2 linked regions of the Arabidopsis thaliana genome follow. The protein of the gene in region 2 interacts with the protein of the main gene of each other region in a pairwise test. Each region holds a gene or a part of one and is shown on either strand. Other genes may lie near its edges.

The links.
Region 1: the proteins of AT5G57345 (region 2) and AT2G17972 interact in a protein complementation assay, tested with the Arabidopsis thaliana proteins (one large-scale study listed by BioGRID).

What each region holds. Positions count from the first base shown.
Region 1 is NC_003071.7:7,809,978-7,825,119, forward strand, and holds AT2G17972 (uncharacterized protein), read left to right. Parts: upstream 1-11,607; 5' UTR 11,608-11,646; coding exon 11,647-12,123; 3' UTR 12,124-12,260; coding exon of another isoform or gene 12,261-12,318; 3' UTR 12,319-12,353; downstream 12,354-15,142. Other genes in the region: WUS (Homeodomain-like superfamily protein), read right to left, coding at 199-694; AT2G17960 (uncharacterized protein), read right to left, coding at 2,403-2,477, 2,862-3,152; AT2G17970 (2-oxoglutarate (2OG) and Fe(II)-dependent oxygenase superfamily protein), read right to left, coding at 9,139-9,448, 9,535-9,606, 9,712-10,022, 10,115-10,200, 10,288-10,881, 11,149-11,299; AT2G17975 (zinc finger (Ran-binding) family protein), read right to left, coding at 12,261-12,318, 12,421-12,501, 12,610-12,737, 12,832-12,905, 13,013-13,043, 13,129-13,397, 13,828-13,993; ATSLY1 (Sec1/munc18-like (SM) proteins superfamily), read left to right, coding at 14,375-14,405, 14,575-15,142.
Region 2 is NC_003076.8:23,221,894-23,237,587, reverse strand, and holds AT5G57345 (uncharacterized protein), read left to right. Parts: upstream 1-6,838; 5' UTR 6,839-7,000; coding exon 7,001-7,158; intron 7,159-7,245; coding exon 7,246-7,416; intron 7,417-7,788; coding exon 7,789-8,026; 3' UTR 8,027-8,297; downstream 8,298-15,694. Other genes in the region: HA3 (H[+]-ATPase 3), read left to right, coding at 1,207-1,251, 2,263-2,382, 2,465-2,701, 2,923-3,684, 3,795-3,917, 3,998-4,102, 4,195-4,339, 4,415-4,579 and 8 more; AT5G57340 (ras guanine nucleotide exchange factor Q-like protein), read right to left, coding at 8,494-8,970, 9,273-9,566.

The sequences.
Region 1 (15,142 bases), on a different chromosome or scaffold from region 2:
ACAGCATTTTTTAAAATCTTTTTAACAATTAACATATACATATATCTATCAAAGTCATATATGTAGATCTTGTTAGTTTTTTTTTTTTTGTGTGTGCTAATTCATGTAATAGCTAGTGGTGTAAATGGTTCTCTTAGTAATTATAAAAAACCACCTGAATAAATTCATAAAAAAGCATGTATAAGAGAGATTAGTCACCGTTATTGAAGCTGGGATATGGCTTGTTATGATGATAGAGATGATGGTCTTGGTTAAGTTTAACGTTGACGGAATTAGCAGGTCTCTGCATGGGAACACCGTGATGATGGTGAAGTAGAGGATGATAATGATCGTTAGCCGCCATCATAACCGAGTTGGGTGATGAAGATGGTGTGGTCATGTTTGTTCCGTTGAATCTCTTCTTCTGACGCTCACGAGCCTTATGGTTCTGGAACCAGTAAAAGACGTTCTTGCCCTCAATCTTTCCGAACTGTCTCAGCCTTGCAGTGATCTTCTGGATCTGATCGGCTGTTGGTGACCGGATTGCATTGTTGTAGTAAAGTTCTTTGAGGATTTTGATTTGCTCCGTCGTCGGTGTCCACCTCGTGCTGGTCTGGCGACACGTGTAACCACCAGAGCCGGACTTGTTGTTGTTGTTGTTGCCGCTTTCTTGGTCGGCTTGATGATGATGATGCTGATGCTGTGGCGGCTCCATGTGTGTTTGATTCGACTTTTGTTCACAAAGTTAACGGTAAATAAGATCAAGACTTAGAGAGGAACAAGAGAAAGAGAAGTTTGAAGTTAGCAAGAAAACAACTTGCTGGTAGTAAAGAGATTTTAGGTTTTGTGTGAGAGAGAAGATTATATATATATAGAGAGATAGTAAGGTATTGAGTTATATATATAAATGGGGACCCAAAAAGAAGGTTTTACAATATTCTAGAAAATCAGTTATTCACTATATTATTCTTTTATGCATGTAGATATGATTTCATACATACAAAACCCTATTGAAAAATGTGCTTGGATATAAGAAATAAATTTTGCCAAAGAAAAGGATATAAGAAAGAAAAATAATCAATTGAATTAACATTCAAATAAAATGTTATGTTTAGGAAGGAAATTCTCTTGTCAAATATATTATTTGATTTTTTTTTATTCAGAGGAAAAATCGAAACTACTCTTGAGAGTTTTAGTGAGAATAATAATAATTTTTATGAAAAAATTTGTGGGGGATCGAATCAGAGGATATCTGGTGGAGAAGGATTGAAAGGGACAGAGAAGTTAGAAATAAACATGAAAATGGAAAGGGACAAAGGAGGGAATTAGAAAGGTGAGGGCATCATCGGTATTTACTTAGACGAAAAACAAACTCTCTTTTTTCAATTTCTCTGTCTCTTCACAATTATTACTTCACCAGCTTTAATTGTTATGTATCTGTCTACGTATGAAAGATATTTACCCATACACACAGAAAACAAAACAAAAATTCTAAAAGATCGTTATGAATTATTGTATCGTAGGAATGAAAGAAAACGATTATAATTTTTTTCTAGAATGAATAATAAAAAAAGTGAAAACCGTTTGATCATAAAAATACATTTTTCCTTCCTTATGGTCATGAGTCATGACACATAGGTGATATAGGATATTTTTCGTGGTGATATCGTCCGGAAATGTGTTGAAGAAATACTCTATATAATTTTACTTATGCTTTGCTTTAAAAGATATTAAAATTTATGTCAATTACAATGTGTGAAACGAGTGTGAAGACAGGTGTACTTATGAACATGTTGAGTATTCTTTAGTTAATTATATGCTCGAATTTATAGGAGCATGGATGGATCTTTTTGTATAAATGCGTGATTTATTCATTTTTTTTAAAAAGTTTGAAGGGCTTTGTTTTAGTGAATATGACTTTTGTAATTGAAAAGGAACAATACCCAACTTTTGTATAGTCTTATTGTTCTACGTAACAGCCACATATTGTATATAAAAGATATATAAAGATTTTTTTAGGAATCTACAAATTTCATAGAAGCTATTATAGTTTTTATGGGGAATGGCCCTGAAGATACGGCTGATAAAATATTTATTTTTTTTAAAATAAAAAACCAAAGATCCGATCACTGAAGTTGCTTGGCTATTTCATAGTATAGTTTTGTTTATATAGCCCCCATGATTTCTCGGATTCAACACAACGTGCAAAGAGTATCGGAAAATTAAAAATAGGTTTTACAAACTAACTATTGTAACTATTAATATTTGGAAAACAATCTAAGGATTGAAGTCTTAAAAAATTTTTTTTGTTAAAAGGTTAAGTCTTATAATCTTTTATCACCTAAATAAACTCAGTTGTATCCCAAATTTTTGTTGGTAAAGAAAGTATTTAGTTAGACTGGTGGATTACTCATTTTTTAACTTTAGTCGATTATATTGGATAAACTTTTGGATTCCATCCAATCGATATATCCGATTTGTAATGTCGTTTGGCATTTCTATCGAATCAACGGTCCAATATTTTTATCCAACTAGGAGATTACACCAAGTCACCAAACTATAAACTAACTAACAAATGATAAAATCATATCTCTAGTTGGATTGTGAATGTCTTTTGACAAGAAACAAAGAATGTCTTGTTACTCTACATGCGTATGCAGTGTATATATAGATGTACACTCCATGAGGATTATACTTCTTCACTATAATAAAGCATAAAGTTTGAAGTTAAAAAAAAAAAAAAAGATGTACACAAGCAACTACATGAACATATGGTCACATTTACATACTGGTTTTTTTTTTTGGTAAAACTTTACGTAGTGGTTGCTACTTAGAATACTCTCTATAGGCCCTTTGATTTATAAACTCCTATGAGTACGTACGGTAACGAGCATGCAGTGAGAAACAGGGGATCTTAATTTACGCATCACGATCTTTTTCATTGTCGTAAAGTACTGTTGAAGAGGCAGAGGGCTAAAAGACGCAGAGCTTTTGTAACTAATGTCTACGTGGCCCCTAAAGCCACTCTTCTTTATTGCAGAGATTTCATTTTCATTTAGGGCATCATTAGTTTCAGTTTGTACTTTTGCCCTAATTTCATGAAAACGTTTATAATTAGCTTTTATTATTTTGGTTTCCCGGAAATTAATGGGGGAAAATTGGGTTTGGAACATGGTCCCCTCTACGATCCGAGCCTTATATTCAGTCTGTCATATGTTATTCGCTATTTACACCTTACGTTACACTGTTTATATGTTTAGAGCATTTATTGAATTTTTAATTAGTTCATCAACGTACAACATTAGTGTTTGAGCTTTCAATATTCGTCAATCGTCATGACTTGATTGTAAGAAATTTTCCAGATATTATGCCAATTTATATTTAATTTATAGACGAAGGTAGTTTGTATGTTATTTTCAACCTAAGATCTTGTAAATATAAATCGACTAGATTTTAACCCGCGATATAACGCGGGACGATTTATTTTTTAAAGGTAATATATATTAAAACTTGCTAATTTTATTTTTATAAAATATTTATATTTTACAGTTTATAATTGTTATTAAGTAACACTATACCACGAATACATTAGACAATTGTTAAAAAACTGAAGTTTTTAACTCTTATCAAAACAACATATTAATAAAATTTTATAAATATTCTAAATATTGATTAAAATACATCTACCATATAACCCAATTCCAAAATAAAACCCGTTCTGTAATTTCTTTACCCGTCCCTTGATTTTTTTTAAAGTAGTAATTTTTAAAATTTAAGAATTATTTATTATATATATAAGTTTTGAAAATTTTATCATTCTCTAATACATTTATATTTTATACTTTAATTTTATATATAGTAACATTATACATACCACATAACATTTTTAGTTTTATATACTCTTTTCTAAATTAGGATGATTTGATATGTTTAATATTAGTGGTCTTAAAAAAAAAAAGATTAAAGATTTAACCCGTATTGAAACGGTGGATTAATTATATTTTACTTTTTTATTAATGTTGATTCAAAAACCCGTCCCTCCAGATCCGTCTTGCCAAAAAGCCATTTATTTTATTAATATTAATTTTATTTATGATATGACTCTAAATTATAATCTAAACATTTTAGCTAATAACATAGGAGTGCACCATATTTATTTAATAAGGAATGTACCATATGACCCGAATGCACTTTAACCCAAATCCACCTAAAAGTCTTGCAAAAATACTATAAAGATAAGAAAAGATAGTCGGTTTTGATAGGTATAAGATTAGCAAATATATTAGTTAGCTTAAATTAGTTAAAGAATACAAATTGAAAAGGTATATTACACTTTATTCGAATATAGTATAAAAACTTCTATAACACAGAGATTTGATAATTTTTTAATTGTTGAATACTTTTTTTTGTGTTAATTTTTATGTGATTAAGATTTAATTGATTTCGTATATAAAAAATTAAATATGAACTTATTTGTTTATAATTTGGTAACAGATAGATATTTGAATATTCGGTATATTTTGCTTCAGTTTAGAAAATCTTTAATGACCCGTCTTTAGATCCAATAAGCCCTATAATTAAGAGATAAATATTGTCGTTAAATGATTTTGGTAACCTTAATGACGTTATTAAAAAATTTTCTTTTGATTAATTTTTTTTAATGGCATTGTCATGTAATTAATTACAAAAATTAAGGTTAGATTTAAAATGTACTTCCCAAATAATATAGTAGGATATAAATACTAATGATATCTGAGATTTATATAACTATTTTATTGAAATTCTTTAAGAAGAAGTAGAAACTATAAACTACTATGCACATGAATTAAAACTACAGTAGAAACTTTATAAATTAATAATGTTGGGACCATGAAATTTTATCAATTTATAGTGATATTAATTTATCCTATAAATTAATATTAATTTATTGTATAAGTTAATGAATATTAATTTATAGAAATATTTATGTAAAATACAATACTATATTCTTTTTAAAATGTTTCTTAATTTACTTTTCTATATGCTTTGTTGTTTGCATATATAATTCTGTTAGGTTTTTTTTATTTACTTCTTTAATTTATTTTTCGGCAAGATATTATGTCTGTATATCTACGACATTAACGTGAACGTAAACGTAAACATGAAGCTTAATCCAATTTCTCTTTACATAAATCTTAGCCATGCTTTCTCAAATAAAAGATTTTACAAAATCAACTACGATAGATCAAATGCGCAAATAGTTATGTGAGTACAACAGAGATCATACCAGTTATATTTTAAAAAGAGTTGTAATTGTAGCTTGAACAAAAATTTCATATAAAAATTAGTCTTAAGATATATACTTAAGATTTATGATTATTAATTTATAATATTATTGGGACTATAATTTTACATAGGGATTTCAAAAAAATTATTATCTTATTATCTTATCGATTTTGATTAATTTTTACATTGCCCCAATTTAGGACCGACAAAATTTATTAATTTATCGAGTATTAATTTATAGAGTTTATACTATATTATGTACATATATACATGTTACTAACGTAATTAACAAAACAGATTTTATATTAAAATAAACATATATACGTGCAAATTGACAAGACATTTCCATGTTCAAATGATCAAATCCCATGTTATAAATTCTTGTTCTGACTCTTATATAAAACATTCCTCTTGCTCTAACCTCAAAAGTTGTTACTAATCTGGTTGGGCTGTTTCTTAAAGTTAACAAAAATAATAATTAATTACATTAAATACCATAGGAAAGTGAAAATTGTTTATTGAGGATTTCAACTAAATTTCTACTTTTAGTCTTTGTATGTTTTCTTGTGTGAAGAATCTGTGTATGTTAAAATATTTTTAATATGATAAACTATATCTCATTATTTTTGCCAACTACCTATTGAACTAACAAACATACTGTTTTAGTTACAAAGCTCCTTTTGATTTTTGAAACCTAGCTAGGTGAATAAACCTAAAATCAAATCTGCCATATAATTTTCTGTTAAAATCAATACTTTGGTATTATTATAATAATAACTTTTGCTTGGATAATTATTCTAGAGTTTATTGAAATTAAAACAACAATTCTTTCACTATTTAATTTACTTTATTTTATTTCTATGCATGACTTAATTTCATTTTGTTACACCATGATTTAATTTAATACTAATATATAGTGAGAGAGAGGAGAGAGATCGAGAGAGTAAGAGTGGTGCAGAAGGAATTTCATTGTCGAAGAAAGAGCACGCCCTTCGATAACGTAAATGCAATGCAAACAATAAATGAAGTGAATTCATGAGAATTAGTATCATCATCATCAACACACACATCTTCATCATCATCACCTATCTTCATTCAAACACACACACCGTACGTGAAGATGGATGAAACAATCATGACATGCTTATGCATGCATATTTAAATATGAGTGTAAATATACATGCTTTAAAGCCGTTACATATGGTTTAAAAGATGGAATATTACATCATATAAACGGGAAATGTCTCTTGTTGTAAGCTTCTTATTTTGGATAGAAGATGTACCTTTCACCTACAACTGCACCAGTTACATTGGTGGTTGTGACATTTATTACTTCTCTCTATCTCTCTCTCACTGTCGATTTATTGATTATACGGTGTGAGAAAATTGCATAGAATATTCAACGCACATGACGTTCTCTACCTCTTGAAGACTCAAAATCTGTCCTATATATTAGTAATTTGCAACCGTAGAATTGTCTTTCGTATCAATTCTGCATATATTTTTAACCATTTAATAGTGATGTCGTTTTTCCATTCCATTGATACTCCAACCATTTAATAGTGTGATGATGTGAACTACCAATTTAAACCACATACTCTTATAATTTTGCTATAAGAAATATATATCCACTACCACTAGTGATTTTGCAACCAATATGTACACAAAACTAATGATTTATACCAATTAAACGAAGATTTAATACAATTGTTTTTTGGATAAAGTAATTAAAAATTTGGGAAAATGAATAACTCGAAACTTGAAACACAGAATTTTGATTTTACATATTTTAGAAAAGGGTGATTAATATGATTATTATATTACGTCGTGCTCGTGCATGTACATTTTTTCTAAGAATGAATAGGATAAGAAGAGTGAAAGAAAAAGCAAAGTGTTAGTTTCCTAGAAAGTTAGAGAAGAGTTATCATTGCTTCGACTGAGATAAAGATGAAAAAACGAGGAGAGAGATTTGTTTTCACTTCATTAATGATTAATCTCTTTTTATAAGCATTAATACTTAATTTGATTTGGAGGATTCTACTAAATCAATTAAGAGAAAAATGTACATGTTTTCTTTTATTAAAAACTAGTTTGTCCCTTGGCCGTGGGGAAAGAATGTTTGTTTAAAGACTGTGTCAATTCGTTATTTTTAAAAGATCAATACTATTCGAAAACATATTTGTAAGAAATAGGGTTTTAGGTGAGTGTTTTTCCGAAGGACCAAAACGTTCAGAAAATGTTACAAAGTTCTTCTATAAAAAATAAATATATAACACAACTTTAACAAAAAATCAGGGGTCGTTATTTGGAATGATAAATGGTCAAGATCAATTCAACAGAAGACAGATCAATACATGTTGATGGGCTAATATGAAAAGGTGTTTTGTATGCACATACACACACACACACATCTCTTTTATCCAAATCAACAACAACACATCAAAGCTGCTTTTTTTTGCTTTCCTTTTCTTACGGGTAATCATTTTTTCATCGCTCTCTTCTCTCACTCCCCTATCAACCCAACATATAATAATTAATCTTGGCTTCTTGAACTTTTTCATTCTTTGTTTTTGTATCTATAAAACTTGAGACAAGTTTCAAAATCAGACAAGGAAAATCATGTACTATGTAGTAGGGGTTCCCTAATAAGTTCAAAAGCATGCTGACTGTGTCTTAAATCTTAATCGCAGTGTCATAAGATGAGTTTAAGAGTCATAATTATTTTGAGAGTTCTCTATATCTATACTATATATCCAAGCAAGAAAATTAAAACTTGAAAATCCACGAAATTCATGATCACATTGCATAACAAAACATGATTTGACAATTCTAATTTTTAGATAATGTTTTTAACAAAATGATTGATCACTAAACCTTGCATAAAATGATTAATCATCTATATTGTATACCAAAGTTAGAAAAATATAATAGTGGCGGTAATGTAATTTCGGAAACTTAACTCAACCGATAACATTGTTTAGAAGATGCATGGTTTTTGAAATACAAAAAAAAAGAAAGTAAAAGTAATAGAGTATGTACCAAGAAGAAGAAAAAAGGTAGGATACATTGTTAGAAAGTAGAAAGAATGGTGGAAAAGAGAATGATGATGTTAAAAAACGAATAGGGATTTGAGATGAGAAGATCATTCCATATCTCATATACAACACATCGTCGCTTTTCATTGATATAAAAGTGTCATACTCAATAGAGCCCAAACCCTTTTTCTTCTCTCTTTCTATTGATTTTAAGAAAGAGATTCTTATTAGATCCCTAAACCCACGTGTTCTTTCATTATTTCGTTTTCTTTGGTTCTTATTTTTTTCCCTTAATTTGTCTTACATCCGGTAAAATTGTAAATTATTTAAATAAGAATTCTTGAGCTGTTTTTATAAGTTACACCTTCAAAATCAGATTAGCAAAGGCCTCATTCATATAAGTCACTCATGTTCGAAAGGTTTGATTATACGATAAGTTGTGATCAGTCAAAAAAATTGAAAAAGATAATTGTACACTTACACTATAGTCACAAAAACATATAAATGAAGAATTGGTTACTTGGTCAAATCAATTATCGATTACTATATATATATGCTCTCGTAGATCGAAATTCTTTAGTCACATCAGTTGGAAAATTTGACAAAAAAGTAAAGCGAAACAAACCACAGAACAATTCACACTAAACACACAAATGACAAATCGAACTGTGTAAGATATACATAATTACAAATACGGTCAAAAATTCAAAAACGGATATAAAAATACCCCGGACATAAATAATTGTTTGAAAAAAAATTCAAGACTTATGTATATATGTTGCACAAATTAATTATTTATATGGAAAATTGGTTAATTAAATAAAGAACTTATAAATTTCAGTTTCAGAAGTTGAAGAATTTAACCGTAGTTTCTTCTACTAGGACGTGGCATTCCTCTTCTCTGGCTTGATGGCCAGTCTCCAGAGTCATTGTGTTCACTGCTTCTCTCAGGATTATAGTAACCTCTTGAGTCATAACCATTGCCTCCTCCTCTACGTCCATGTCCTCTTTGGTTAGTACCGTTATGGTTGTTTAATCTTGAGAACCTTGAAGTAGAACCAGACCGGTTCAGGTCCAATGGCAATGGCTCAATCCCTTGCAAATCAGGCTCTGGGGTGAACCAAACCGGGCGTTTCGACTCATCCATTTTCCTAAATGTAATTGATATCCTGTTGAATAGAACCGGGAAGAAACATACTCATAAGAGAAAAAATGTTTGTTTATAGAAGAAAATTGATGCAACAATATTTATAACCTTTTTGTAGGAACTGCAGGTACACAGTGCTTAGCTACATCAGCTCCATTTCCATTTAACACCAGAACTGATCTGATAAATATGAAAATATCCAAAAAAAACAGTCTTTGATTTCATACTATTCGACAAGGAATGGCCGAAAGTTTTGAAACTGGGAATTCTTACGAACTTGCTTACCCCACAGGAAGCGGTATTGAGTATGAACCCGAGAAGTCACCAGGACCCTCAACTTTCAGGTTTGAGCCAAAGAGGATATCGCATTCACTGAGGAAAGAGATGGTACAGAAGGGACGGAGAAAGTCGTGGTTGTCGATGTGAGGAGGTATGCAGTCACCTTCATCATAGATGTTCACAATGCAGCTATCGGGCACACAAGTTGGAGGCAGTACATGCCATTTAATCAACTTTCTAATGATTACTTTGAAAAGATGAGGTAGTGGATCCACTTCTTCACGTTGAAGGATACCCGGTGGGTTTCCAGCTCTGTCCTATCAACCCAAAATACAAGAAGGCAAAACTCTTAACTCCTTTTTTAAGAATGAAACAGATTAATGAAAGTATGACAGAGAACGTTACTTACTGGAGCGTAGTTGTAGCAACAGCCAAATTGTATAGTCTCACGTCCTTTTCCTCTCATCCACTTATGTGGAGCAGTAAATGTACGCTCTACAGAGAGAGAACAAGACAAGATTCAGATTAAAAATAGGTCACAAGTTAAGATAAGAGCATTTTCAGATCAAAACAAGAAGTTACTTTTAAGTTCTCCTCTTCGTCCCTTCTCTTGAAGTTGATACACTTGATCAACAATCCGTTTCTGCTCCACTGCGCTAAAAACACCAGTGTGCAACTCAAGTCCATCAAGCACGTTAACAATCTTTCCCTTAACTCTCTCCAAGCAAATAAAGTCTTTCTTTCTCTTCACATTAATCAGCCTGAGATTCTCTCTCTGATCTCTAGACAACTTAGGCTTCTCTGGAGTCTTCATCGAACTCGCATCAAAACCTTTCCTACTCGAATCCCTCTCCTCTTCCTCCTCCTCCTCCTCCTCATCGAACTCATCCTCTTGTGCCATATCAGCCCAACGCATACGAGGGCTTGCTGTTTCAACAACAGCTGGTCTAGATTGCAATACACTACTAAAATCTTCAGGAAAGGAACCAAATACAATTTCACTTCCCTTCCAACTACCTAACGAATGATTATCACAGTCTTCGCCATTTTCCGACTTCTCATCATAATTATCATCCACATTGTTACTAGCTCTTTCTGATCCCATATTTTCCACCACTGAACAAGAACCAGTTTTACACTCTCCATCAACTTTGTCAGTGTTGTTACTACAATGTGCTACACATATGGAAACATGATTTCTCATAAGCAACTCCACATCATAACTTAATTCACAAATTTAGAAACGTACTTGCTACTCTCTCGCCTCCTATTTGTTCCAATTACCAAACCCTAATTTTGTAACCTTATCATTTAGCAGAACATCAATCAAAAAAGCAGAATCAAGTACAATAATGAAGAAAATCTCCGCTTTCTATACAGAATTTCAATATCCATAGAAACCAGAAAGTCTCTCGCCTCTAAGAAAAAGTTGAGAATCGTTACCTGGGTCAAGAGAACGGATTCGATTGGAGAGAAGGTGATTACAATCCTTGCATAGATCTTTAGATAAAAAAGGAAGCCAATTCGTCAGAAACTCCGAAGCGATCTTAAGCTCCGACGGCTGGTACTGCCGGAGAAATGGATCGTTTTCCATGAGATACGCTCGATACAATCCAAATCTAGTACTCTTGTTACAGAAAATTCAAATTTCCTAGTCCACGATTTGAAATCTAGTACTCTTTTGTCAGTGTGGATTCTGTGACGGTACACTTGTAAATTCTAGTATTAACCAAACAAGGGTAATATCGGTATTTAAGCAGCCAATTAAAGCTCTTGGGCCGTTTAAAATTCTTAAAAGCCCATTAATTTCGAAACGCCACCTGTCGAGACATAATTGGGTCAGAGGATTTTAACGGTGGAAGATGAAGAAGCTTATCTTTTTGCAAAATCGTTTCTTCCTTCATTCATCATAGCTTCAAAATCTTAAAAACAACAACAAAAATGAAAAGTCTCCACTTTTTAGCTCCCAATTCAACGATTATCAATCTGAAGCAACAATCTTATACAAAAACCAAGTTCCAGTTGCATCGTAGCAACAGAAGAACTCTATCGATAAACTGCGTAAACAGTGGCGGTGATGAAGAGAAGATTACTCAGCCGTTGGATGGAGTGGAGATAAGATTCAAAAGAGGATCCAGAAGGAAAATGAGGGAAGAGGGTTCAGGAGAAGGAGGAGGACAAAGCGGGAAGAAAAAAGAGACTGTTCAAAAGCCATGGGAAGAGATGACATTGAATGAGAAGGCATTGGAGCTTTATGTTGGAGAGAAAGGTTTGTTGTTTTGGCTAAACAAATTGGCTTACGCGTCGATATACATTGTCATTGGAGGTTGGATTTTTTTCCGGTTTGTTGGACCGGCGTTTAATCTTTATCAACTCGATACACCGCCTCTTGATCCTAAGAACATCTTAAAGGGTTAAGAAATGCTTTGTAGCTGTGTCTGCATTCTCTGTTCCAAAACATTTTGAGGCTTATATATTCAAGTTAGTTTCGAGTAATGTGTAGCCATGTCTCACTAGATTAAGATACACAAGAGAACAACACTCTTCATGAATTTTCAAGATTGTTCTGTTGGAGTTATGTCCTGATCAAGGATATCTCGTGTAGTCTTGCACCTGACATGGAAAAGAAAATATTTTTTTCTTCGGCTTTTTGTTTACCTTAACTCAATGCAAAGAATCAGAATTATTAACTGAAAAAACTAGATTAAAACTCACCTATTGCACTCTGCTCGTGATGCATAATTGTGATTCTTGCAATTTGTACACATCCAGTCGCCATCACGCCATTGTTTCACTCTAAGAAATCAGACAACACAAAGAATTGGGAAGGTTGCAAAAGATCACGCCATTGTTCTAGCGTTTAGAAAACAAGAAAACAATGGAGACCAGAGATCAATACAGTACCCCATTCCAAGTAAAGCAGGTGTTGAGTGTTGTTGTAGAAACGGGAGAGGAAGTTGCCAATTTGAGACCCTTCCTAGGCTCATACCAGGAAAAGATGCATATATCGCTGACTGTGTTTGCATGCTTGTCTGCACAACGAGCCAGAAGAAACAGAGGTTGGTTAAGCAGCAAGTAAAATTGATGAATGTACTAATCAATTTATGCGCTCTAACTAATCCTTACATATCCTTGATTCAGTCTTTTGCTATCCCATTCATGAGCCAAAGCTTCTGATGCTAATCTCTTTGTACCAAGGGCTGCAACCCAAAATAAACTTTCCCATATTAAAACTCGTGAAAGGATTATCAGACACCTTCGGGTTATATAAGATTGCACGCGCATCGGTCTTAGACAAAAACCTTACCTAGTGGAGCTATTTCATTGCACTTTTTGCACTGCAGAGACATACAAAACAGAAATGAGTAAAACAACAAGCCGGAATCTGCAAGTCGGTTTTGCATTGTGAACCCATTTCCTCACCTGTATACGAGAGGAATAATTGTGAAAACCACATCTGCAAATCCAGTCACCACTCCTCCATTCTTTATGAACCGAAGCTTGATTTGTAGCGTTAGAGAATGCGAGTAAAGAACCAGGTTGATCATGTGACTCAGGTCCACGGGTGAAGTAATGGAGATGAGTTTGAAGAGAAGCTCCAGGGATAGCAAGTGCTGACAATGCTGCTACTTCCTTAGATTGCCCACATTTCTTGCACTTTTCTCGTGATGCATAATTGTTGTTAGTACAACCTATTGCCACACCACACCACACCACACACCCAAACGCAAAACGTAGAACGAAGAAGATACACACGCACGCACACCACAACACACCCACCAGCAAATTCCATATACCACATAACACAGAATACACAAAACAGCTCAACCTAGTTATAAGTAAATCCCCTAATTCACAATTCCAATCTAATGAAACATCAAATGTAAAAGGGCATTTGAAAGTTGAAGGATTTGAACTCAGAACTTACGAATTAGATCAATCCTAGTTTTCATTCACAATTCAATCTAATGAATCCGCAAATGGAAAAGGGCATTTGAAAGTTTTAAGGATTTGAACTCAGAACTTACGATTCTGATCAATCCTAGTTTTGCTTCTAGTTCATTAGCACAATCTGGGAAGCTATAAAAGAATTGAATTGAGATAGGAGAAGAAAGAACGAACCAGTGCAGATCCAATCGCCGATACGAGGAAGCCACTTAGAGTTTGGAGAAGTATTATTATCCATGATAAGACGAGGCTGCTTGCATCTGTTACAGAATGATCTAAACGCATAATTCCTGTTTCTGCATCCTAAACATTCCCAGTCTCCTTCTCTTCCGTCTCCCATTTCTTCTTCCCGGAAAAACTCCAGTCTCCGGCGACGACGACTCACTCTTTTTCGTTCAGAGAGGAGAAAGAAAGAGAAAGTTGAAGAAAGCTAAAGCTGGGCCACATTTGTTGTGAAGTGACTAGGCCCATTAGGCCCATTAATTTCTTCAGAGAAAATCTCTTTCGTCCTTCTCTTCGCAGGTGGCAATCGTTACTTACTGACATACATCTTCATCAGTGATTTTTGGGTTTGAAATTTCTCTAGATCGATTTTGGATTTAGATCTCTTTGTTTCTACTGCTTTTCATCGTTGGATCTGCGTTTTGCAAAGGGAGATACAGAAAGGAATAGCTTTGAATTGACAAGGTTTCTCTCTAATCCAACCGAATCTCAAGCTTCCATGGCTCTCAATCTCCGTCAGAAACAGACTGGTAATTATCTCTTTATAATCTCAAGTTTCTGCGATGATTCTTCTATTGCTTCATAGATTGTGTTCGATCTATTAATTTGTTTTTAGGAATCTGGAAATTTAGAGAATTCTGGTTTCTTATGAGTTAATATTGATATTGGATCTTTGATCTCTCTCTCTCTCGGTTTCAGAATGTGTAATCCGGATGTTGAATCTGAACCAACCTTTGAATCCAAGTGGAACTGCGAACGAAGAAGTTTACAAGATCTTGATTTACGATAGGTTTTGTCAGAACATTCTATCTCCATTGACCCATGTCAAGGATCTGCGTAAGCATGGAGTTACACTCTTCTTTCTCATAGACAAAGATCGACAACCTGTTCATGATGTTCCCGCTGTCTACTTTGTTCAACCAACTGAATCCAACCTCCAGAGGATCATAGCCGATGCTTCTAGATCTCTCTACGATACCTTTCATCTGAATTTCTCGTCTTCGATCCCTCGTAAGTTTCTTGAAGAGCTAGCTTCTGGGACTCTTAAATCTGGTTCTGTTGAGAAAGTCTCGAAAGTGCATGATCAGTATCTGGAGTTTGTGACTTTGGAAGATAACTTGTTCTCGCTGGCTCAGCAATCTACCTATGTTCAAATGAATGACCCATCAGCAGGGGAGAAAGAGATTAATGAGATTATCGAAAGGGTCGCTAGTGGTTTGTTTTGTGTGTTGGTAACGCTTGGTGTGGTTCCTGTTATCCGATGCCC
Region 2 (15,694 bases):
ACATGTCAGAGCAAAGAAAATTTACTAAAAGGTTATTTTGTTTTTCCTTGTTTGTCTATAAATCTACTGAAAGCTTTAAATGCAATTTTATTATTTTCAAGAATCGGTCTTTTTACACTTCCGCGATACTAGCTAAAGGAATGTACACGTGTCAGGATATTATTGTAGCATCTGATTTTTACCATTGATGGTAACTAAAGTTAGTAACAGAACCATCAGGTCCATCACCGTAAAATATGACTAGCACAGTAGCACCTTTACCAGAAAATAACGCCGTTAGCTGTTTTCATCAAGTCAACAACAACCATTTTAACGGCAGTTTAGATATATTTTAATTTTTTTTAACCATATATCATTGGAAGTAAAAAGTTGTCATACTAAAATATATATCTTTTAAGATCTCAAGGTAATTAAAAAAATAATCAAAGACGCTTAAAATCTGAAATTTTCAATAAAGTAATCATAAATTATTTTATGATTTAAATTTAGGTTTATCATAATAATCTTGAAAGAAATTAAATAATATAATAGTTTTAAGGAAATCTATTTATTTGTTTTTTGATAAATTACATATCTATAGTAAATTAATGATATTGAATGGTGTAGTTGGTTTCTCATAGGTAGAATTAAGACTTTCTCTTTTGTATTAATAAAATTTTATTTGACAACAAACAGAAGAAACCTTTTAATAAATTGAGAGAGATATACTATAGGACATGATATGACAAAACTGTCCTACTCAGTGAACTTCACTAACAGAGCTCAAATTTGAAATCTCAATGAATTAATATTTAATGACATAACAAGTCAAAGTGATGATATTAAATCTTTCCTCCTTGACAAGACGATAATACTTCAATTAACAAAAAAAAAAAAAAAAAGAGATGATAATTTTTCCAGAATAAAATATTTTCGACTTGGACTGGGAATAAAAAAAATGGGGTGACCTAAACCGACGTCGCATAGTTACGAGAGGCATATAAATAGAGAGCCACCAAATAGCCTAACGTAGTCCACCTTCACTTGCTCTCTTTTTTCCGAAGAATCTGGTTCGTTTCTCTTTGAATTATCTCTTTCTCTGTTCTTCTTCTTTTTCTAAAGTCTCGAATATATCTTCATTATCATTACTTTATTTGCTTCGTTCTTCCGCAGTTTTGTGCAAAGTTTTAACGATTTTTTGGTTTTGAACGAAGGCACAGAGAGAAGATGGCGAGTGGCCTCGAGGATATCGTGAACGAGAATGTTGATTTGGTATGGATTTCTTCTTTTTACTCTGTATATATTTTTTTGTTTCGTTTGTTTAACTTGTTTAATGAATATACGAGAGGAAAGTTTAGTTTGGTTTTGTTTTTTACTTAACGATTCGATCAAATTAGGGTTGTACACAAATCTCGTTACATCATCGTTGAACTATTGACTTCATGTTTTAGCATGAGATTTTTATTGTTTGATTTCGATGAGAAAAGAATCCATGAAAAAGTGTTAATATTATCATAATTATTTCAGTTTTTCTGCTTTTTTTTCAAAATTACTTTTTCTTTATTTATTTTTTTATTAGATTTTGCAACTGCACTAATTTAAAACAATTTGCAGTCACCAGAAATTTAGTTACAATTATGTAAAAGTTGTTTCCAAATAAAGCAAAAGTAATTACATTAGTAGTACTCTCTACTTTCACATGATCTATCTTAATGAGTATACTTTGAGATTTCTTAGAGAAGTTTTAGTCAATTCTGTTTTCAATTACTACGTTTTTGGATTTTTCATACTCATGGAATATCGCCTTATCAATCGGTTAATCACTTCCCTAGATAAAACTAAACTTCAATCTTCACCTGATTTTCTGGACTCAATTTAAGATACCATGTTATATAGACAGATTTGCCCCTATCAATACATCTTCCGTTACAATGGGCCTTATTGGGCCTTTAGGCTTATTATATAAGCGAATTAAAGTACAAGGCCTTGTGGTCCCACCTTAGATTCTCTGACATCGACAGCTACAGAACATTCCATAATTTTGGTCATCTAATATTTTTATGCTTTGATAAATAATTATAATCTTGATTATCTATTAATTTGCATGCTTATATTTTTTTCTTTTTTTTTGCTTTTTTTAGTACTGTAAAAGGTTAACATTTGTATCTGTAAAAAAGATGTACTACAGATAAAAACATACTTGGTTGTTTATTGGTGTAGGAGATACATAATTATTGAACACCATTTGAATTAGTCTAACATCGTGTTCATATTATATTGCAGGAGAAAATACCTATTGAGGAAGTGTTCCAGCAGTTGAAATGCAGCAGAGAAGGTTTATCTGGAGCAGAAGGAGAAAACAGACTCCAGATCTTTGGCCCCAACAAACTCGAGGAGAAGAAGGTATAGTTTGGTTTTAACCATTATCAAAGTCATCATACATGAGCTAAGTCACTAACTATGTAATGGTGGTTTCAATAAATAGGAAAGCAAGTTACTCAAGTTCTTGGGTTTTATGTGGAACCCTCTCTCTTGGGTCATGGAAGCAGCTGCAATCATGGCTATTGCCTTGGCTAATGGCGGTGGAAAGCCACCGGATTGGCAAGATTTTGTCGGTATCGTTTGTCTTTTGGTTATCAATTCAACTATCAGTTTTGTCGAAGAAAACAATGCTGGAAATGCTGCTGCTGCTCTTATGGCTGGTCTTGCTCCCAAAACTAAGGTCCCTCTTTATAAACTCCCTTCAAATACTCCTCTTTGCATTAGCATTTACGTGTATGTTTACTGTATACTTGGCATACGAATTACGCGAGTTTAACTATGTTACATAATTAGATTCTTAGCACCTAGTAGTTGTCTAACTTGAAAATGTTTGGCATAAGTAATTGGTTTACATATAATTTCATTACAAGCTTTTAATAATATTTGTTTTGTTATGACCAGGTTCTAAGAGATGGCAAATGGTCAGAGCAAGAAGCTTCTATTCTTGTTCCTGGAGATATTGTGAGCATCAAGCTTGGTGACATCATTCCTGCTGATGCACGTCTTCTTGAAGGTGATCCTTTAAAAGTCGACCAATCTGCTTTGACCGGAGAATCTCTTCCCGCAACGAAAGGTCCAGGGGAAGAAGTTTTCTCCGGTTCTACCTGCAAGCAAGGTGAGATTGAAGCGGTTGTGATAGCCACTGGAGTCCATACTTTCTTCGGTAAAGCGGCTCATCTAGTCGACAGCACAAACCAAGTTGGACATTTCCAGAAAGTTCTTACGGCGATTGGAAACTTCTGCATATGTTCCATAGCTGTTGGTATTGCGATTGAGATCGTTGTCATGTATCCGATCCAGCGCAGACACTACAGAGACGGAATCGACAATCTTCTTGTTCTTTTGATTGGTGGTATCCCCATTGCAATGCCTACTGTCTTGTCTGTCACAATGGCTATTGGATCTCACAAGTTGTCTCAACAAGGAGCTATCACAAAACGAATGACCGCCATTGAAGAAATGGCTGGTATGGATGTTCTGTGCAGCGATAAAACCGGGACTCTCACGCTAAACAAGCTTAGTGTTGACAAGAATCTTATTGAGGTTTATTGTAAAGGCGTTGAGAAAGATGAAGTTTTGCTTTTTGCTGCTAGAGCTTCAAGAGTTGAGAACCAAGATGCTATTGATGCTGCTATGGTTGGAATGCTCGCTGATCCAAAAGAGGTAATATATATAACTCTGTTTTTTCCTCTGTTTTAAAATTCTGTTTTTTCCTCTGTTTTGTTTCTTGAAGAAAATGTTCTGTTCTGTTTCTCATTGTTTGTTTCTTTCAGGCAAGAGCTGGAATCAGAGAGATTCACTTCCTACCATTCAATCCAGTTGATAAGCGAACCGCTTTGACGTTTATCGACAGCAACGGAAACTGGCACCGAGTAAGCAAAGGAGCTCCCGAGCAGGTAACTAAAACTGATTTTGGTTCTTAAGCTAAGTTAAGTGTTGTGACTTCTTAAAAAAACTGATTCTTTGATGATTTCAGATTCTTGATCTCTGTAACGCGAGAGCTGATCTGAGGAAGAGAGTCCACTCTACAATCGATAAGTACGCTGAGCGTGGACTTAGGTCATTAGCTGTTTCAAGACAGGTGAGAAGAAATCTTACATTTTGTAACAAGTTATAGGAAGAAGGAAAAAGAGAGAGAGAGTTTAATGTAAATTTTGTGTGTCTATGTTTCAGACTGTACCAGAGAAAACAAAAGAAAGCTCTGGTAGTCCATGGGAATTTGTTGGTGTGTTGCCTCTGTTTGATCCTCCAAGACATGATAGTGCCGAAACCATTAGAAGAGCTCTAGACCTCGGTGTCAATGTCAAGATGATTACTGGTTTATATCTAAACATTACTCTTCGCTATAGCGAAAACACCGAATTTCTTACTAATGTTTCCAATGGTTTTATAGGTGATCAACTTGCTATTGCGAAAGAGACAGGACGTAGACTTGGAATGGGATCAAACATGTACCCATCCTCTTCTTTACTCGGTAAACACAAAGACGAAGCCATGGCTCACATTCCTGTTGAGGATTTGATTGAGAAAGCTGATGGCTTTGCTGGAGTCTTCCCAGGTTTGTTTAAGAGCCATTTTTGTTTCCACAAACACAAACTTGCTCTTCTCTCTGTAACATTTGGTCTCTTTTTTTTCTTTACCAAATTCATTCAGAGCACAAATACGAAATTGTGAAGAAGTTGCAAGAAAGGAAGCATATCTGTGGTATGACTGGAGATGGAGTGAATGACGCTCCAGCATTGAAGAAAGCGGATATAGGTATCGCTGTGGCGGATGCAACTGACGCTGCACGAGGTGCTTCTGATATTGTCCTCACCGAGCCAGGTCTCAGTGTGATCATCAGCGCGGTTCTAACCAGTAGAGCCATCTTCCAGAGAATGAAGAACTACACAGTGAGTGTTCTCTTAATCTTAAACCATAACCTTTTTAGAATCTTTACACCATGATAACTTGTTCTCATGGTGTTTTTAAATGTTCCTTTAAACAGATATATGCAGTCTCAATTACCATTCGTATAGTGGTAAGTAATCAATCTTGTATGTATTCTTGAATATCATCAAATAATCTCTTTTTCTATATGATTTCTCACTTTGTGCCTTTTCACAGTTTGGGTTTATGCTCATTGCTCTAATATGGAAGTTCGACTTTTCACCATTCATGGTTTTGATCATTGCTATATTAAACGATGGTGAGTTTTTTTCTTCTCTTTAAAAGCTCTCTCTAAATTTTGGCTCTAATCGACTAACACATCATTAACTTACGCAACAGGAACCATCATGACTATCTCAAAGGACAGAGTCAAGCCTTCTCCAACACCAGATAGCTGGAAACTCAAAGAAATCTTCGCAACCGGCGTTGTTCTTGGAGGCTACATGGCTATAATGACTGTTGTTTTCTTCTGGGCCGCATACAAAACCGATTTCTTCCCGGTATGTAACATATAAACAACCTCTCTTTAGATTCCTTGTCACACAAGCATTAACTTTGTTTGTTTCCTATAGAGAACATTCCACGTGAGAGACTTGAGAGGCAGTGAACATGAGATGATGTCTGCTTTATACTTACAAGTCAGTATTGTGAGCCAAGCTCTTATATTCGTCACTCGATCTAGAAGCTGGTCTTTTACAGAACGACCTGGATATTTCTTGCTAATTGCTTTCTGGGTAGCACAATTGGTAAGCATTGTATCTTCTTGATTGATTATAAACTCTCTTGAATGATTGATTCATAAACTTTGACCTTGTAGATTGCAACGGCTATTGCGGTTTACGGTAATTGGGAATTTGCAAGAATCAAAGGAATAGGATGGGGATGGGCTGGAGTAATCTGGCTTTACAGTATTGTCTTCTACTTTCCATTAGACATAATGAAATTCGCAATCCGTTACATACTAGCCGGAACAGCCTGGAAGAATATCATTGACAACAGGGTACGTTTTGCTTTCTTCTTAGTTCTTCTTCTGAAATGTGATTTTAAGACTTAAACAAAATCTCTCTGTGTCTTTGAAAAAACAGACTGCGTTTACCACTAAGCAAAACTATGGAATAGAGGAGAGGGAAGCACAATGGGCTCATGCACAAAGGACTTTACACGGTCTTCAGAACACTGAAACAGCCAACGTTGTCCCGGAGAGAGGTGGTTACAGAGAACTGTCTGAGATTGCAAATCAAGCCAAGAGACGAGCTGAGATCGCAAGGTAAATGATTTGTAAAAAGTAATTTCGGTTTCTTGTGAGAGAAGTTAACGTTAGGGTTTTTGTTTACAGGCTTAGGGAACTTCATACGCTTAAAGGACATGTAGAGTCAGTGGTGAAGCTAAAGGGACTAGACATTGAGACAGCTGGTCACTACACCGTTTAATAAAGATTTAACAAGAAGATGATTAAGGAAGAAGAAGATCCTTTTGTTTAAGAGATGATAATGATGATGATTTTATAACAAGAGAATAAGGTTTTTTTTCTGTGTATGTTAAGTTCCTCTAAACTCCTGGGGTTTTTCTTCCTTCCTTATTCATGGTTTTAGACTTTAATTATAACCATGTGTTTTTGTTTCCCCTCTCTTGAATAAAAAAGAGAAGATACTAATATCATAGGTTTAATACGTTTATGTTTTATAAAAGTTCAATAGATATTGTTTTTGGATATTATGTGAACATAACAATATTTATAAATTCACCTTTCAATTTTCTTATGAGATGATATCATCTTTACTACTTAAAATATCTTCTAATTAAACCAAAAGCAGATTTAGGTCCGGTTAGATGAATAACCGGTTCGATTAATTTCGTCAGACCGATTTGATCCGTGGATATCATTAATCCGTGGAATACATGTGTGTTCTTGAGTAGGCCACTAGTTATAATCCACGTGGCAAGCATTTTATCACAAACCCAGAGCTACAAAAACAAAACCAAGAAGACGAGAAGGATCTTTAACAGAGAAAAAAGAGCTTTAGACCAAATCACCAGAAACAAAACAAAAATGTATTTCGCCGCCATAGCTTCTTCACGACAAAGCTTTTTGTCAAACAATTTCAGTTTCCAACACAGTTTTAAACCCAAATCCAATGTTAACCTCACTCGTCCTAATTCAATCTGTTGTAAATCTTCACACCACGACGACGAAACTGATTCTTCTCGGTAATTTTTATTTACCTTTAGAAAATTTTTTTCCGATTCTAAACTCGGGTTTGGTCTTATTCAATCTTTTATTTATCTATTGATTAGGAAAAATGAAAATCAGCTGGCGAAGTTGGCAATCGCGACGCTAGCGGTTGGCGTTTTGGCTTTGGGAAGTGTTGGGGATGCGTTTGCGGCCAAAAGCGGTGGAAGAATCGGCGGTCAAGCGTTTCGGTCTTCAGCTCCTCGTCCTCCTCCCAGAATTAACAATCGATCAAGGTAAAATTTTTTACTTGAAGCTCTAATCTCGATTTTAATTATTTAATATGTATATGATTAAAATACTGGCGAAAAAAGTATATATTTAAATTAAGACCTTAATTGAGATTTCTTACAAGAGACTCCATGTATGGGCTTTTAGCAGCCTCATATCCACATTAAAGCCCATTAGTAAACTTTAAGCCTCTTATAATTTTCTATTACACTTTATATTTTGAACCCCATAATTACAATTCGAATCCAAGATACCCCAACGACCAACACTAATAACTTGATTCAATGCATTAGGCTTTTCTGTTTGCATTATATAATCACGACTTTAGTCTTAGTAGTTAGTACCTTTGCATTCTAAACGCAGCTTTGTTTTCGCAGGACCAACATCTACGTGAATCCTCAGGTTGCACCACCTTTGATCGGTGGCTATGGATATGGTTACGGAGGTTACGGATGGTCACCGTTTTCCTTTTTTGCCCCTGGTCCTGCGGTGGCAGTAGGTGTTGGCGGTGGCTTTGACCTCCTACTTCTCTTCATGTTTTTTGGAGCCGCTTCAGCCGTCGCTAGAAACTTTTTCCGATCAAGAAATGATGAAGATGACGAAGACGACTATTAGAGGAGAAAACGGAGAGAGGCTTATGTAACAATAGTCATACATACGATTTTGTGTAAAAAAATATGATGGAAGAAGACGGATATATGTGGAAATCTTGAAATAAGTAACTAAAGACCCATCTTAAAGTTAATAGAGGCAATTTGAAAACACCTCCAAATACTAAATTTATATACAAATTTTCTCTGTTTTTCCTTCATTCTTTATATTTTAGGTTCTAGTGTATGACCTCATTGGTCTCCGAAAGCAAGTGAAAATAAATTCTTTAAGCAACCAAATATAAAGAAAACATTGGTATATTTTGTCAATGGTTTATCAGTGTTAACGAAGAAGAATAATTAGACCTAGCTAAAAGTGAAATCAGTAAATCTCGTAAATAATAATAACGATAAATCAGATACAAAAAGAAAATAAAAAAATCAAGAAGAAGACGAAGAAGAAAAAAGAAAGAGTCAGTGAATTAACAAAAATCAAGAAGAGGTTCGGTTAATACTAAGTCCTTGAAAGAGCCAATGAGGTCTCTTCTTCTCTCGATCCAACGACGTCGTACTTGAGCTGCTCATAGGCGTGTTTGGTCCGCTACTTTCTTGGTTATTATTGCTGTTATTATATAGATTATTATTGCTCTGATTATTACAATTATCCGATGATGATCTCATTGACGTTGTTGACGAGTAGTCCATGTCCTTGTTCGTTGTCGTGGTCATAGTAGTAGATGAAGAAGACAATCCAATGCTCAATGTCAATTCGAGTTCGCTCTCTTCGATATGATCCGTCGTCGTTTGTGTTGCTCTAACCACATTTTCGAGGTCTATGCCTGAACAACTTCCGGTTCTCTCTCTTGAACCGGGTTGGTCTTTGTTGTTAACAGTCCAATATTGGCTTCTATGTTTGAGTTGAGTCATCATCATTTTCTGTGTATTATATACTCTATGTAGCTCTCGTACCTGCGATTATCACTTTGTTATGCTATGGATAATTATTAATTTAAAGCTAATTTGCTATGGATAACCTGAATCGGTCCAAGAATCTAAACTAAAGTAAAAGACAACCGATTGAAAAAAACTAACTAAATCATTCATTTCTTAATTCGTTAAACTGATATATCATCCTTTTCAAAAACCGACAAGCTGCTTAAAATGTAATTAGGCTCGAAGGAAAGCATAAATTTAAATATTTCCTGTTTGAAAGACCAAATCCATATGATGATGAATATATATATATATATATATATGCAAGTATAACGTACCTGTTGCTTAAAAATATCTTCTTGGGCTTGCATTGTATGTCTGATGGATTCAGCATTTTGCTTTTCAAGAAACCTATCCATTGACCTTAAAATAAAAACTCCTTCTTCTTCCTCGTCTGTCAACGTCTCCTTTGACGATTCTTGTCGACCATTAACAACAAATCTGATGAACCCACTATGATCAACACTCTTTAAGCCACTTTGGTTTGTAGTAATTCGCTCAACGATCTTTGTTCCCATGCCTGAAACGTAGTCATATAGTTTCATAACCATTTGATGAGTGATGAAACACATTAGAAAACCCTAACTCTACTTAAATTGTATATGTGAGTGAGTGTTGTGTGTATGTGTATGTATACATGTGAGTATGAAATTGATGGAGTAATCGTCAGAAGCCACTAGTTCGTGAAGTGAGGGGTTTATAGACAAAAGAAGGTTGACTAGTGGGACACACTTTTGAATTTGATTAGATTCTCTATCTCATGGTGTTTTGTCTTAAAGCCAAGTATTTTTTTTTTTTTTAAATCGAATCAAATGTCTTTATGTTCACTAAATCAATGGATAGAACTAGTTAGACCACAAATTGTTGGATTTATGATTTTATTTCTTTATTATTGTTATTAATCATAGAGATGGAAGATGATTAATTATTTTCAATTAGCTAATTAGTCAGATCAAATCGAAGTAGAGCCAAGCATGACAACACTAGACACGGCTTGTTTTAGTAAGATAACATTACAAAGCTTTTCTATTTGAATTTATCCACATTCATAACCAATTCAAAATATCTAAATTATCTCTTGTGTTATAGTAAAATATTGATGTAAAAATACTTAGATAGGATATCTTCTGCAGTAAGCATTCGGAAATAATACTTTATTTTCAAATCAGTGAAATAATTGATGCGGTATAGTACAATAATATCATTTTCTCTACTAAAGTTTAAAATAGAATGATTTGAGTTGTAAAATTGCAAGAAATATAAAATATGTGGTGAAGGTTGGAAAAAAAACAAGTTGTCGATTTTGTTTCCTTTTCTATGGATAAGCATGACTTATTTAGAATTTGAGAATGATTTTTTTTTTGTGGGTTAAAGTTAAAGATATGAGAATGATTAACATAATAAGATAGAGTCATAGAGACATGGAAAAAAGCAACAACAAACACTGGTCGAGCAGTCAATTTAAAGTCAACAAATAGGAATTTTAACTATTTAGTGTAAATTGATGATCATGCGAGGAAGACTGTATCACCTAAGTTTCTTTTCTATTAAAATTGGAATTAATTACATAATGTATATAAATTGGTCACATCGTTCATTATGTTTTCGCATTCATGCGGAGAGGACTATATCACCTAAATTTCCACTTATACTTGTTTCCTATCTTTTTTTCTAAAACATATAAATAAATAAATATAAATATATGTGACACATGTACTTACGTATCTATTATACACACGCTCACAAGTACACAAAGACATGAAAAGATCATGTCTATTTAGCTATAATTGTAGAGAACCAAATTAGATACCCAATAGGATAAGACAAGGACAATAAAATTGGTTAAAAGAAAACGTTCTTTTTTTTTTCCTAATGTATGTGTGTATATTTCTAGACAAAATATCTATTTCGCTATCAAAAAATTATTTTAGCTCTCTCTATACACTTGAGGTATTAAAATTTCAATCAACTGAAAAAAGCCAAATTTGTGACTTTTTTCCTTATACGCAGTCACACACATACATATATAGAAAATATATCTATCTAAATAGAAAGCACCAGCAATATCCGGAATCTGTTTATGGACATATATACACGAATACATATAAAGAAATTCTATATAAATTACCTGAAAAGAAGAGTGGTCAAGCTGTGATTTTCTCCAAAGAAGCTCATTGATCACATGTTCTATACTCATGCCACAAAACTCACTTAAGAGAAATTCTTCAAGACGCACACTTACCTTACTATATGCTTCTTTACCAATTTAGCTTCAAAGCATAATCCAATAGCTGAGAGATTACTATAGGCTTTGTTTTGTCAACAATCAAATATAGGACTAAAGCTGTGTGGAAGAAGAGATAGAGAGATATTCAGAGAGAAAGGAAAGAGAAGGAGAGAGGGATAATGGGGTATTCACAGCTAAGGAAATGCTTAAATTAAAAAGGATTAATAAACAAATAATATATAGTGATGGAAGTTAAATAGTTCTTAAAGGCTAATTTTGACAGGCTGTGATATTTGTGAAGGAAGGAGGCAAGGAAAAAGCTGAGAGGTTTTCATATGCTAAATTAGCTTTGTATGTCCATCTAATTGTTCTCTCTCTAACAGACAGACAAAACAATAGCTAATTTTATATAATTCTTGTGGATTTACTAGTATGTAATATTTTAATCTCTTACTTGAGAGTCCTTTATTCTCTGAGAAGGTGATGTTTTTAAAAAAAAATCATTAATATAAATGCCACTATATGAAATAGTAAAAGAAAAGATCTTAGTATCTTACCATGCTGTAGTATTAACTCAAAAGATTGATATATTAATATGTTCAAGAATTTACATATTAAGTGTTACTGATAAAATATAGAATCCTAAGTCTTATGGAAGTAGATTTTGTATATTATGTATAATTTTTGGTTTATACATATAAGTGGGGGTTTGAAATAATTGGGTGTGTTGATATAATATTAAATCGAGAAGATCAAGAGGATTTGGACAAATGATGAACAATAAAATAATACAGAAAATGTTATTTTTAGCCAATATATTCAAGACAAGTCCTCACTGGACATGATCAAGATATGCATGTAACCATATAAAAAAACAAATAAATATTATATTAACTACCAATTGAAGACAAAGCTTGTATCTTTTGTGTCTGTAAGAAAAAAATGGCGATTTGTTTTCTGTATTACTTTTAGAAATTCAAATGATTCCCTTTTCTATAAATTCTTTTATCAATTTGTATATTTTAACGTACATATTCTCCATCATCGACATCCGTACTGGTATTATCCAACCATTCCCAAAATATCCCATGATTATCATTTTTATCTGACACCAAGTTTAATGAGATAGATCCTCTTATAGCATATCACTTGTTAGCAGTTTTAACAATTATTAAATTTTCTTTTTCATGTCTTCAATTTTTCTGTAACATTAATTGGTTGATATTTTCGGAGATTCTAAAACCTAGATTCATAGTATATGTTAGTCTAGTGTTGAAATGAATTTACCTGACATGTGAATGAATTATTCGTTAAGACTTTTGACATTATTTTGAATTGGTAACACCAAATACGTTTAGGTTGGTAATAAAAAATTTCGTCCACAAAAATATGCACGTAATGTATAATTCAAGACCGATCGTTAACCGATGAAAACCCTTAGATTACCTAATAACAGTGATCTACAAGTCATGCATCACTTAAATAATAATTCCATGGCCAATGACAAAGAGGATCCATAACAAAACCCTAGAAATAGAATTTAAGTTTGTTCATAAGATTCCAAATTAAATAACCCTCTAAAAACAAATTATCAGCACATGATTTAAGTGGTTTTAAGTTTTATAATAGTACTAATTAACTAAAAGATATTTTTTTCTATACTTTAATGTTGCTTGTCTTCTACTTGTTTCGTTTTCTCCTCTCAAAGAAATCTCGTGCTAACATGGGGCTTCGATTACGCACCGACTTATCGTAATTATACTTGAATTATTGGACCTAAATGTGGTTATATTACTCTTTAATTTCACTAATCACTTAAAGATAATTGTATCAAATTAATTCTATCACCAGTTTAACTGCAGGTAATGAATTAGGCACCGACTTATCGTAATTTTTTAGATTTTAGACAGAGAAAAAAAAAAAAAAGGACAGAAAATCTTAGTCTTGATAAAAAGTCTTCTATCATAAAGTACCGAATATGTTGCAACGAAAGAACTTATAATTTTGTCTAAAGTTCATCAATACATAATCTATCGCTAAAACTGTAACGATAGAAATGTGTTTTCAGTGAATCTAATCAATAGATATGGGATAAGTGAAGTATATACTAATATTTTATTTTGGAGTTCATAGATCTCACCAATCTTTCAACTAATTGCCGGTGCATTAAGAAACACATCTCATCGATCGTGGTTTGCTATTACCGTCCTTAAATCCAGATCCCAAAAAGATTAGTGTATGTTAATATTAAACAATCAAACAATTAAGAAAACGATTTAGTATTGATCTGCGGTCAATATTTTTGTAATAGAAAAATGAAATGATTCCTTCCGCGGATGCATGCGTATCTTATTAAATTTGTAATTGTAAGAAAACGATTTAGTCTAATTATTGTAGAGAAAAAAGAGCTGGCTGGATTAGGCGGAGCCATGTGAAACGAGAAGCAAGAAGGAAACGAGAAAGAGTCATTTCGAATAATTAATTATATCCTAAACTCGAAACCAAACATTATATGATATCAAGTACAAGTACTTAGCAGTAATTACCGACACACGATAATTGCTTTGCTTAAATATAATGAAATCAGATTTATTTAGAGTTCCAAAGTTTGAATGTGCAGGTCAACATTTAAATTTCGAATAGTAGTACATCACATGAATTATTGTCTGTTGATTCTGTGTATACATGGTCATATATCGACCCATACTTACAAAGTTTTGTATGTAGATATTTTAATATGCGATTGAGATAAATGTTTTTATACCCTGTATATAATTATTATTATTCTTACCTCCTTTTTAGCTTTTTGGTTTGTTAAATAATACATTTATATAGCTTTACCTAATAATTTTTGATTGTATTACGTGAAATTTAATGAAAAGAGAAAGAATCAGAGAAAATCATATCAGTTTTGTCCGCCGCATATTAGACAATATTAAAAGAACAGACCAATAACAAAAGACATGGGTGATATATATATGAATAACAAATTTGTTTGGTCGTAATATGAATGACATTTTTTAATTGTTGTTATACCTAAACAATTAACTATTAAAAAAATGGAAATCATTTAAAAATATTTGATTTCTTCAAAACATGAAGTAGCTCACAACAAAAACGCATTTGAATTAACCTGATTTAATAACATTTTCTTTGATATCACTAGTAAAGTAAAGATATTTGAATCATATAATGACTTTATGATCTCCTAACTAAAAATCATGTTATGTGAGAATAATGATGATAATTCATGAAACTTATCGCTAAAGTAAAAAACAGTGAAAACAAGTGGTGATTTGGTCATATATTATGATATGATGTGAATATTGTTAATAAGGGAGTTAATAAAAGTGAAGTGACGGCATGTGGAAGCAAAGAGAGAGAGAGAGATAGATTTGGGATTAAATTTTGTAATAATAATAAGAAAAAGAGTAAGCACGCGTTGTAGCCTTTCTAACGTACATTCTGGGTCCTAATTCCTACCCCACTATAGTGACTATACACACATGACACATCCACATTTTTATTTTTTTATTTTGCATATTATTTACATAACGAACTTATGAATTATGAACAGCATAATCTATATAATATACCTATAATCTTGTATATTTTATCTATATATTTCCTTAAAAAATTAAAATAAATAACTGTAACTATAATTTTATTAGTATCCGATATCCGGTCATCAATATTAGATAATATAATAGATACCACACAATGACACAAAAGATCAAAATCCAAATAACGCAACATGCAACGAGTTTGTTTGCAAAGAAATCGAACTATATTCTGTGTCGATTACTACTCTATCACTACACTCGTGTTAATACTAGGCTTTGTAAATTAGTTTATGTTTTGTATTAATAAGTAATTATACTTGTATAAAGATTAGATTGAAAAATTGGGAGGATTTGTGTGGTAAAAGAAGTTAACCAGTCAATTGGGGTGGTATTAATATTTATATGATTCCGCTGAAGAATAAGATCGGACCGAAAGTTGTCATATTCACTCAAGTTAACAAAAGCTAAACATCAAGTAAAATGAATAAATTATATTTTTTAAGCTGAAAATAAATAAATAAAAATATTCAGATAATTACGACATCATTAAGGTTTTCTCAAGCGATTTGTGGGTCCAACAAAACACGTGTCAGATATCTGGACAATAAAAGTGGGGCTTCGTCATGTGGGTTATTTTGTCAAATGTGGTTTCTCCACTTGTCACTCAACTATTAGACTAGCTTTAGCTTATCTTCACTAGCTACTAGATACTTTCTGCTTTCATAGATTATTTATGTTACTTTCTTTATATATATAGTATAGTCGAAAATAAAACTTGAATGTACAATTCAGGAAGAAAACTTAAAGACTATTTGTTTATATATGATAGTTACACGACATGATTTTTCATTTGTTTATTTTAAAGATTAATTTTATTTTCTAATTTTACTAGTAGAAAAACCTTAAGTTT